3 linked regions of the Danio rerio genome follow. The protein of the gene in region 1 interacts with the protein of each later gene in a pairwise test. Links are inferred from orthologs where the notes say so. Each region holds a gene or a part of one and is shown in the gene's direction. Other genes may lie near its edges. The genes, in order: srrm4, zrsr2 and srsf11.

The links.
Region 2: the proteins of srrm4 (region 1) and zrsr2 interact in binary tests that used the Homo sapiens proteins (3 or more experiments, as listed by UniProt). The link is inferred for Danio rerio from reciprocal best matches to the Homo sapiens genes SRRM4 and ZRSR2.
Region 3: the proteins of srrm4 (region 1) and srsf11 interact in binary tests that used the Homo sapiens proteins (3 or more experiments, as listed by UniProt). The link is inferred for Danio rerio from reciprocal best matches to the Homo sapiens genes SRRM4 and SRSF11.

The regions. Positions count from the first base shown.
Region 1 is NC_133180.1:16,513,149-16,516,806, forward strand, and holds part of srrm4 (serine/arginine repetitive matrix protein 4), read left to right. Parts: intron 1-953; coding exon 954-1,028; intron 1,029-1,147; coding exon 1,148-1,174; intron 1,175-1,348; coding exon 1,349-1,399; intron 1,400-3,658. UniProt on the Homo sapiens protein: Splicing factor specifically required for neural cell differentiation.
Region 2 is NC_133186.1:13,231,327-13,235,084, reverse strand, and holds the start of zrsr2 (U2 small nuclear ribonucleoprotein auxiliary factor 35 kDa subunit-related protein 2), read left to right. Parts: upstream 1-1,381; 5' UTR 1,382-1,459; coding exon 1,460-1,551; intron 1,552-1,647; coding exon 1,648-1,727; intron 1,728-2,053; coding exon 2,054-2,126; intron 2,127-2,214; coding exon 2,215-2,323; intron 2,324-3,758. Other genes in the region: histone-binding protein RBBP7, read right to left, coding at 637-652. UniProt on the Homo sapiens protein: Pre-mRNA-binding protein required for splicing of both U2- and U12-type introns. Selectively interacts with the 3'-splice site of U2- and U12-type pre-mRNAs and promotes different steps in U2 and U12 intron splicing.
Region 3 is NC_133186.1:47,584,471-47,588,128, forward strand, and holds part of srsf11 (serine/arginine-rich splicing factor 11), read left to right. Parts: intron 1-126; coding exon 127-216; intron 217-631; coding exon 632-681; intron 682-848; coding exon 849-982; intron 983-1,627; coding exon 1,628-1,709; intron 1,710-2,674; coding exon 2,675-2,788; intron 2,789-3,347; coding exon 3,348-3,437; intron 3,438-3,658. UniProt on the Homo sapiens protein: May function in pre-mRNA splicing.

The DNA.
Region 1 (3,658 bases):
AAAATGTTAAAGCCAAGTCCTACTCCAAATATATAAAGTATGGATTTACATATATTGACAGCAAAAAAGACTCAGTGTGACATAAGTAGTGAGGTGCTCTCACAAGAGAGCACGAAACCTTCCAAATTAAAACGACATTCGGAAACCTGACAGCATGTTTTATTAACTGTTTAGTTCATGGTAACTGAACCTTTCCTTACCCTAACCACTGTTAACAGGATTTGTCGTTTTTACTTTGTAATATTTCTATAATTTGATACATTTTGTTAAATGACAGCAATAAAATATTGTTTATTTGTAAGTCTTGGTGATGTTCTAATGATTTATCTGTCACTACTTGTGTGTGGTAACAAATAAATACAAATTAATTATAATTGCTAAAATTATATTATAGTTCCTAAAAATTTGAGTCGCGGCTTGATGACCATGTAAAAATGTGGCCAAAATGTGGCCAAACCAGTTGAGAACCCCTGGTCTACAAAACAAGCCACTGTTATACAATGACTTGCCTAGTTACCCTAACTTGCCTTATTAAAATAATTAAGCCTTTAAATTTGCACTTAAGCTGAATACTAGTATCTTGAAAAATATCTAATAAAATATTGTGTATGGTCATCATGGCAAAGAAATCAGTTTTCAGAAATTAGTTATTGGAACTATTATATCAAATATATATTTCCATTAAACATAAATTGGGGAAAAACACAATGGGGGCTAATAATTCTGACTTCAACTGTATGTATATTTAAATATTTTATTTCCATAGAGCACAGAGATTAATTCACTTTGTGCAGAATATTTGCAATGATTTGAAAGTGTATGTACATTATATGAAAGCACTGGGAGCACATTACAAGATTTTCTTGGCTTAAAATAACCCTTTCATTCAGTGTTATTTCAAAAGCGAAACATTTGTTTTTTTTACCAACATGTGGCCCTGTTTGTTCTTCCAGATCTCCCTCCTGCAGCCCGTCACCCGTGAGGAAGAAGAAGAAAAAGAAGAGCTCAAAGAAGAGGAAGCGACATAGGTAGTGATTGATTTTCACATCAGGTCATGTTCAGAGCTTTGCTTTGAGTACGCTTTGCTAGATGCGGTGTGTTTGTTTGGTCACGACTGTCTTTAAAGTCAGCTCCTCTCTGCCTCCAGGTCTGCCTCAAGGAAGGGAAGACACAGGTAAATTTTACATTCAGTGTCTTGCTTCAGAATAAATGGCCCAGTGCTTTTGCACAAATGATACCTGACCGTTATTGTGAAGTGCTTTTGTGTTGTTTGCGGCTCTATCCATAAACCATCCTGTGGGACCTTTCCATTTAAACCCAATCAATAATTGTCGTGCTGTTTTTACAGTGGCTCGAGCTCCAGACGTAAAAGGAAGGAGGACAAAAAACACAAAAAGAGGTTGGTGATTTAAAAATGGGAATTTAATTATTTAACCCATCAAATCTCCATTTGTCTTTCTCACAGTTTAAGTACATGCATTTCACTCATCATGCTGAGTGATAGGATTACGTGCAACACTCAAATAGAAACAGAATGATGGCGAGTGCGATAAAAATGCATGGTATGTTTGTTGCGAAAGCACAATATTCACACAGCATGGCTCAGAAACATCCTGCTTGTAATCTAGAGCTAGTGACCCAATGTTCATACAGTATTCACTTAAGTTAATCAATTTAATTTTTATTTCAAAGTCCAAAATTATTAATAACAATTTTCAAGCTTCCAGAATTAAGAAAAAAATACATGCTCACATTTTCATCCGATGGGAATAAAGAAATAAAGGGTGCATTTTTTATGAGATGCAAAATAAGTGTCTAATGACTGTGTATGTGTCAGGGTTTCAGGAAGGATGAGGGAGCGAGGACTCAATTGCAACATAAGATGGTATTTATTAATAAAAATAAAACAAAAAGGACAACAAAAACCACCCCGAGGGGGAAAAACATAACTATAAAACAAACACTCAAACAAACTTGGATGGGCTGGCAGGACAAACAGGACTAGATAGCACACGACATGGAAATAACGACGATGAACTGGCAAAGGACTGAAAACATGAGGGGGATTATAAAGCAAAAAGTAAATTGACACACAGGTGAACATGACAAACTAATAATGAGTAAACAAGGAGGGTGGGACTAGACAATAGACGGGAGAGCGCATGACACAGAGAGACAATACAAGCCATGCGCTCACATAACACAACACTGAAGCACACGACAAAAGCACGTGACAACAATGTAAACACCGAGCCACGTGCTTTGACAAAAGACGCAAGACACGAGCACACGATGAATGAAAACACTCACCGTGCGCTCACACACGCAGCGTGCATGCTTCATCCCAGCGCCGACCAAAACCGAAACCAACAAGACTGAGACACTGGGAATGAAACACCACGCTGCTGACAGACGAAAACACAAACACGAGTACAAGAGCGCACGCGTCTGAGTGACGCAGAGCGCACGCGCGGCCGCATCAAGCAGGAGCGCTCACTCTGCGTACACCCACGACGGCGCGCGCACACACAGAGACAGAAACAGGACCAGACATGGGTAGTGTCCGAGCTCTGCCACCAAAACAAGAATTTACAAGACCAGAGTGGCAGAACCCTGACAGTATGTGAGGTTTCAGCTCAAAATACCCCATACATAATGTTTTAGAATTCCTTGAAACTGCCCCTTTTAGGCTTTGATCCTAATTGTGCCCTCTTTTTTAAAAGGTGCGGAGCTACAAATGCATTTGTGTCAGTATAGTAGCAGATTCAAAAACAAGACTAACGTCCTATGCCAGGGATATTCAATTAGTTTGGCATGGGGGCTGGTTCATGAAAAGCATCCCAAACGAAGGGCCGGAGAGATATGACTTGCTAAATGAGTGGTGACACTACTACATATAAGAGCCTGTATGCTGTATTTGTGCTCATAAAGACACCCACGTTGGCATTTTCAACATTAAAATGTTAACATATTGTATTTTAAACAACTGCATTGTCCAATTCACTTTTTTTGTTTACAAGCATTCAAAATGTTGTATTTCGCACAACAAAAACAGTGCATTGCTGAAGTAGGCTTCTTCTACATTCAGACACATTCATATGTTATGTTTTAAACAGCAATTAGTGATGCAACATTATAGATTTTGGTTGTACGATATAGTCTGAAGAATAATCATGGTTTCATGGTTATCAAGTCTAATGTAATTTAGAACAACAAGCTTTATATAAGGGAAGTAGCTATTTAGATTAACTGTTGTCATCATCTGGGTTCATGCGTATATAATCATTTTAATAATAATTGGTCTAACATATCTTTTGTTTACATTGCACTAAAAGGCACGCACAACTCTCACTGTGAGATTTTTTTTACTGCGTGCGCCCGGACAGAGGCAAGTGCGTTGCTCCGCTTGTGCGGCCATATTGGCATTCTTACATTAGAAATAACAAACTTGCGAGCGGAAAAGACATGATATGGGTTAGGCCGCTGCTACAGTTAATCCGGTGACCGTGTGTATTAGCCTCGGTGTACATACTTGGAACTTTAAACTAGTGCATAGTTGGCAACTTGTCATAACTTTTCTGTGCAACAGAAATGGGGCTTAGAGAAGCCTTCACGATTAACTAACTGTGCTGAATTAAAGCGCAGGTAATGGTGATAT
Region 2 (3,758 bases), on another chromosome or scaffold:
TAGAAGAAAATAATCTGAAGATCTGGGAGTTCTTGTTCACATATTGCATCTTTGAAGGATAGACTTGAGCGAACCCATGAAATGCATTATGAACTTATAAAGGACTTATCAAATCCACACTGAAGTTGACCAATGTAAAGACTTCATTACAAGCATAACGTGTTTTCTCTCTATTTATTTGTTTATTTATTTATTTATTTTAGGCCAAATGTATGCAAATGATCACATTTCACAAAGACTTAACTGTGAAAGAGCGTTGTGTAGTAGAAAGTTGATGTGCTCCCACATAAATTAGCAGAACTAAAGAGTAAAGATGGGATTTCCTGAATTAACGTTAGTAGATACACAGCAGCAGCATATGAATGATGGAGGGAAATCAGCGAACAACGGAGTTTCAGTCTGCTTTGAGAAGCTATTACTTGTTTTCAAGCCAGTATGTAAATAATAGTAATTTAATCACGCTAGTTGCCATACAATTCACGAAAAGCAAGTTTTTGATAAAGAAAATTGTGACACTCATTCATTCTTATGACAGTATGTGGGTCGCATCCATTAACGTTAGCACATTAGGCTAACGCTAGCAAACTCTGGCAAAAGAATAAATACTGCACGTAATTCACTACGGAAAAAGTTTACCTTCTTTATCGGCCATTTTGGCGTACTTTTCTGTGGGGTAGCCACTGAATGGACCAGGGATATAGAGCCAAAAAGCAGAAAAAACAGGCTTTTACACTCAACACACGTCACTTGCAAAACCAGTTCGCGTATCTCACAAGCGCAAAACCAACGTGAGGTAGTGATGTCCGATTCACAAGCGAGTCGTTCATTTGAACCGACTCTTTTTTTGTTGTTAAATATCAATGCTATTACTATAATAATAATAATAATAATAATAATAATAATAATAATAATAATAATAATAATAATAATAATAATAATAATAATAATAACAACAACAAAATAATATTAACAAAATTGTTATTGTTGTTGTTGTTATTGTCGGTATTAAAACATTTTTGTTGTTGTTAATATAAATGTATTATTGTTTATTATAATTATAATAAACTAATAATAATTAAATTACTAATAGTAGTAGTCGCAGTGGTATAATAAGTGGTACATCATAATACATATAATAATTTTTTATCATTGTTGTTTTATTACTAATAGTAGTACAGTGGTATTAAATGTAGTATCCAGGGGGGACAACAACGGTGAAACAATAAACAACACCAACGATTTCATAGTTTAATTGAACATGTTCATTTATACGATCTGTCCAAATGAACCGACTCGGTAAAGTGAACTGACTTCCCACTTCTAAACTGAGCATGCCCGATCAAAAGCGGCAAGTGATGTCATCTTTGCGCGCGCGTTGAATGATTGGTGAAAATGTGTTGCGCTTGATAGCTTGTGCTGTTGTTGTTTATCAGCGATATGAGTTAAATAATGGTTTGAAATGACGGAGAAGGATTGTTGCTCGATTCAGACAGAGACACAGGACTCTGAGAACCGGTTGAATATGTGTGAAACTCCTTCTGTTGTACTCAGGTGTTGTATCAGACGTTTGACATTGTTGCTGTATTAAATCAGTCAGTATGGATGTGTTTTAATTATTTACAATGTATTTATTTACCAACTTCTTAGTCATAAACAACGACGAGCTGCTCTTAAACGAGAAAGAAGAAAAAGAAAACGCCAAGCGCTTGCTAAAATAAAAGAAGCAGGTAACTTATTTACACGGTTATTGACACGATTTAATTAGCTATTTTCTAGATTTTTTATTTTACTGTTTATTATATTATAGTAGTAGTTATTATTTCTGCACTACGTGTTAAAGTATTTTAAGTCTACAGGTTAAATATTCTAAGCCTCTTAAAATAAATAATATAATAAATAAATAAATGCAATCTCTCAAGACTGCATTTATTTAGTCTTTTAACGTTTATTAAAACAGTAATACTGTAAAATAACAATTTAAAATATTTTTTTGTGAATAATATAATCATAAGATTCAAAACCAATATTGCAACATCATTTCCCTACTTTTCAGATAACAATTTGCAAAATGAGGAACTTCAGTCTGAAGCTGAAGATGAGGACAAACTGAAGGTTGATGAGGAGAGGTAAGGCCTTACAATTTCAATTTAATTAGTTAATATCAGTTGGAAAAGATGGAAATATTTTGAAAATAATACTTTATTAACAATGCAGTGAGCGGTTACACCAAGAATGGATGGAAAGAGAAAGGATTGCGCAGGAAGAATTCAGGTTAAAGAAGGAGCGAGAGGATGCAGCACAACAGAGAAAGGAGGAAGAAGAGGTGAGCCTGTGATTGTAATGTGTAGTATATGGTTTTAATTAGGGATTCTTCGTTTACATTTAATGACTCAGTCGGTACTCGCCAATCTGGCCGATCTCATGAACCGATTGCAAGTGTTTGTTTATGAGTTTACAAGCAGAGGAAGAGGTGACAAGAATGTGTGAACAGGAGAACAGGGGTTCGTTCTTTGTATGTGGATTACTCAATTAGCTGGATTTGGTTATTGACGATTTGACACGATCCAGGATTGTTTTGTTCTTTAAAATTAATCCGAGAGTTGATGTCATTGCAACAGTTCTGGTAGCTCAAACCTGCTCGGGTGCAGGTTTATTTAATATAAACAGCATAAGATTGACTCATTTTAAGCAAAGGTGATACTGAAAGTATGTACCGAATGCTGATATTTTCTTACAGTAGTAACTTATAGGTTATATACACTTGGTAAAATAGTAAAATTAGTTTTAAAATATGTGTATATACATTTGTAATTTATAATAATTAGTATTATTTGCACGTGTAATTAATTACAGTGATTCACTTCAGCTTTACTTCATCAGCACAGCCGCATGTCAGAATAATTATAAAAGAAGATGCTTCAATCTCTGTTTGTGGACATTAAATCAGGTTTATTTTATAAAATAACATAACAGATACCAACACAGCAGTGGAGATTAACCTGTATCCTGTCACATTTGCGTGCAAAAACAGTGCAAAGCTAAGCGCGCTCTGTCTGTCTGTCTGTCTGCCTGTCTGCCTGTGTGTGTGTGTGTGTGCGCGTGCGTGCGTGCGTGCGTGTGTGCGTGCGTGCGCGCGCGTGTGAACTTTGTTACGATATTGCATGTGACTCATCAGTGCAACTGCACAACAAATACTCATTGGTAAAGTTCTTACTGTAGTATTTCCAACAAACGCTACGTGAGATCTTCTTCCTTTAAGTCTGTCTGTTGTCTAACGCAGCCGAGGGAGGAGATTAAAGCACGCGGGAAGGCACATAGAAACAGTAGGCGGGGAGGACTCGCCTTAAAGGCGCAGTACGACAAAATCACCCCCTGGTGGAAAAATGTATAAAACAGGATCTTGTAAAAGGTATAATGAAAAATCTGATGGGTGTTTTGAGCTGAAACTTCTAGGTGCCTTTTAAATAAATTGATAAGTGTAATTCTACAATATAATTTTGTAACACTTCCTATAGATATATTAATTGAAATGAGAAATTTATGATAATATATTTTTATAATATATTTTATATGCAGAGCACTTCATAAATATATCATTTCAATTAACCCTTTCAGGCTCAAATTAAATTTTAGAAACAGGCAAAATCTATGCTTTTAACTGTTGCAAATCAGCAACGCCTGCCTTGAGAGGGTTAATATTTCTATAGGAAGTGTTACAATATTATATTTGTGCATATACATTAGACTAATTCGTACTT
Region 3 (3,658 bases), on another chromosome or scaffold:
CTCAGACGATACTTCCAGGTTTCTTCCACCGCAGCCTCGATTTCGCTGTTTAAAATGTCCGCCTCGTGAAATCAGTCTATGGTCCTCCTTGCACTGTAGTGATGCTCGTGTGCTTTGTCTTGTCAGATTGGTGGCGTCCCTCTCGGCGGTCTTGGAGGACCAAACTTGGACCCGATGGCAGCTCTGGCCATGGCAGCACCCAATATAAACCCACAGGTTTGACCATTTTCCATTCCTTCAATAATGGCCAGACCTCATCTAGCCTTTGTACAGAAATGGCTAATGTTAAGTGCTAAAGGCTGGACGATATGACGCATATCAATGCCTTGATTATTTGAACTCTTTTGATGATTGAATGATTAATAAAATTTTCAATGTAATAAACTTTTTTTCCCCTCATAATTCATTTGCATTGTAAATATACTCTTAAATATCAAAGGCCTTTTTTCTACAAGCGCAAGTAAACTCTATTACGTTGGTTGTAAGTTGTTCATTTTAGTTTCAGTTAGCTAGTCAGTCTTAAATGTGTTGTAAAATTCATCATTTATAATTTTGCATAACTGACTCACAAATCATGAAGCTGTTTATGCAGCAGGACTCTTTGACTCATGCTTGATGTTTTTCTTCTCAGTCATTGTCAGCTGAGCAGCTCATGAAGCTCATGGCATCAATAGACCCCAAGTAAGTTCATCAAACACCTCATCTGCAATCATGCATTTTGTGTGATTTTAATTTTAAAAATAATCCACATATATAGTATTTATTAAATGGAGCATTAAAGGGAGGGTTCACCCAAATATGAAAATGTACTCTGTTTTAAATCATCTATTTATTGTGTGTTGTTGCAGATTGAATCCTCTGGCCGCTGGGCTCAATCTGACCCCTGGACTGAAGGCAGACGCCTCCAATAAAGAGATTGAAGAAGCCATGAAGAGAGTGAGAGAGGCGCAATCTCTGATCTCTGCTGCCATCGAGCCTGGAAGTAAGTAACTGTGTTTCCACTCGAAGATGAGAATTAGATTCATGCACCAAACTGGAATATTGCAGCGAGAAACTGCACAGATATTGCTGAGAGAAGTGTAGTTTGCTGCACTGTTGGGATTCTCCACTGTGCTGTTTGTTCTTTAATACATGAGCTGTGCCTCAGAACACCACATGCAATGGACGCAGTGAATGTGGTGGAGACAAGAGCACAGACAGATGCTCAAGACAGTTCTGGAGGGAATAATAATAATAAAAGAAGAATAATGCTAAAGCACTGTGATGACGGACTGATGGAGGGCTAAGTGTCTGAACAACATCTCACATCCGCAACAGTGGAGAGCTGAAAACCAACATTAGAGACACAAACACCCTCACACACACACACATTAATATATGATCAGCATCTGTCAGAAACTACTGATGAAGTGCATACACAGTTTATTCACTAAAGCTGTTCACAGCAGACTTCTGTGTTTTTAATTATTAGATATGTTCATATATTTAAACATGTAAGTTTTGTTTACTGCAATATTCCAAAATATGCATGAAGATGGGTGGTTTGAAACGGCTAGTGACCCATCAGACATTCTGCTCATGTAAATATTGAAGGATGCTACACTAAATTGTGTCTGCTTCTCTTTAGGTAAGAAGGATGATAAACGAAAGCGCTCGAGATCGAGGTCCAGATCCAGACGCAGGAGATCCAGGTCCCGCTCCAGACACAGGTCTGTCTTAATCGCAGTTTGAGCTGAAATTTGGGCCAATCTGAATAAATTGTGAGCACAGCAAGGTTATTGTAGTTTTGCATTTGTGAATTAGTTTTATTTTGGTAGTATTTTTAGGTTTGCTGTACGCTTGAGTTTTTGTTCATTCCAATAATGGCTGTTTGTTTTAGTTATGCATTTAGTTTAGTGTTAGTAGTTGTCGTTTATCAGAGTGCACAGAACATGTTTACATTCACTTTTGTGCAAAACATTTAGTATTTAAACCATGCAAAACCTCACAAATGCCATGAATAGAAATTCATTAAATGATAAAGAATTCAGAAAAACTTCATATTAAAAAACAAAGTTTATATAGAGAGAGGGTGTTTAGTATTTTATAATGTTCACTAAGTAAAACATGAGAAGGTCAATGTTTCAGTTAATGAAAATGTCTTTAGACCAGGGTTGACCAAACTGGATCCTTGAGAGCTGCTGTCCCTTCATATTCAACACATCTGCCCTATAATTTTCTAGTCTACCTATAAAGAGCTTGACTATCTGATTAAGGTGTTTGGGTTGTAACTGAACTCTGCAGGACGCTTTGTTTGAGCTCTCCTGCTTTTGACCAATAGCTTTAGTCTTGAGCTGCGGTCACGCTGGAGTTTGTGTGTGTGAAATTGTCATACTGCGCCAGGAAAAGGGCCGGGATCAAACAAGATGATTAGATGTTTAAAGCGAGCGATTGCTCCATATTTTACATTTCTGTGCAGAGAGGACATGTTTGGATCCTCGATTGGTCTCATGCAGTGATGCGATTTCACAGATCAGAGTTCACCAAACTTAAACTTTGCAACACAGCGAACTGCAAAACTCGTCGCATGAGCTTGCATTTCCAGTCTGACACATTCACGTGCATATGAACGGAAGTCTTTGGGGTGAAAAATCAGCTTTAGTTTTGGCTTACTATGATGATGTTGTGACCGCAGGCGCTCCAAGAGTCACTCCAGGCGGAGATCTCGCTCCAGGAGCAGGAGGAGGTCCAAGAGTCCCCGCAGGAGGAGATCTCACTCCAGAGACCGCAGCAGACGCTCCAGGTCCAGGTCAGTGTCTGTCAGTCAGTCCTCGGGTGTGTCAGCTAGGGATGCAGACAATAACTCTGTTTAATTAACTGTAATACTTTTAATAACTACACTATTCACTTAGGGTTAATAAACCATTAAGGCTCCACGATGGCATGTTTCTGCTGCACGTAACAAAGCAAAATCATAACAGTTATGCCAGCAGTTCACGTTGTTTTTAATTCTAAAAATAGAAATAGTTTTTCCTTATTGTTTGCTTTTACTTTTATTTTGTGACGTGAGCTTCAATAAATTACAACACAAAATTTTATAAACATTTGTGTTAAGTTGTTGAATGTAAAAATTAATCAACGTGAAATAAAAAAAATCTGTAAATTTGAATGTCATTTTATGAAAACTGATTGATTTATATTGATAACTGTAGATAATTCTGCTCACTATAATAGTTGTATAAAAATGTTTTTTTTTATAAAGGCTTTTCATCTCTAGTCCTCTATTGAGGCACTCAGGTGTCTCCAGGGTTATTGTGGAGAGATGCTGGCTTGTTTCCTCACAGATGTTTGGTTTGTTTCTGATGTAGAGATCGAAGGAAGGATGAAAAGTACAGGAAACGGTCCAAAACTCCACCCAAGAGCTACAGCAGCGCCAGACGCTCCCGCAGCACCAGCCGGTCAGTCTGGACTGTTGAGTGTTTATTAACTTCTCTTTTGAGTTTTTAGAATCGCCAAAAACATTCTAATTCATTAAAATAATAATAAAAGTTGCCATTTAAGATTTTAAAGTTCAGTTTTCCAAATTCAGAGCCAAATTCTGTGCTTTTCATTAGATTTAGTAAGAAAATGATTTCCTACACGCTTTAATGTAGAGCTATTTAACATTAGAGGTTTTCTG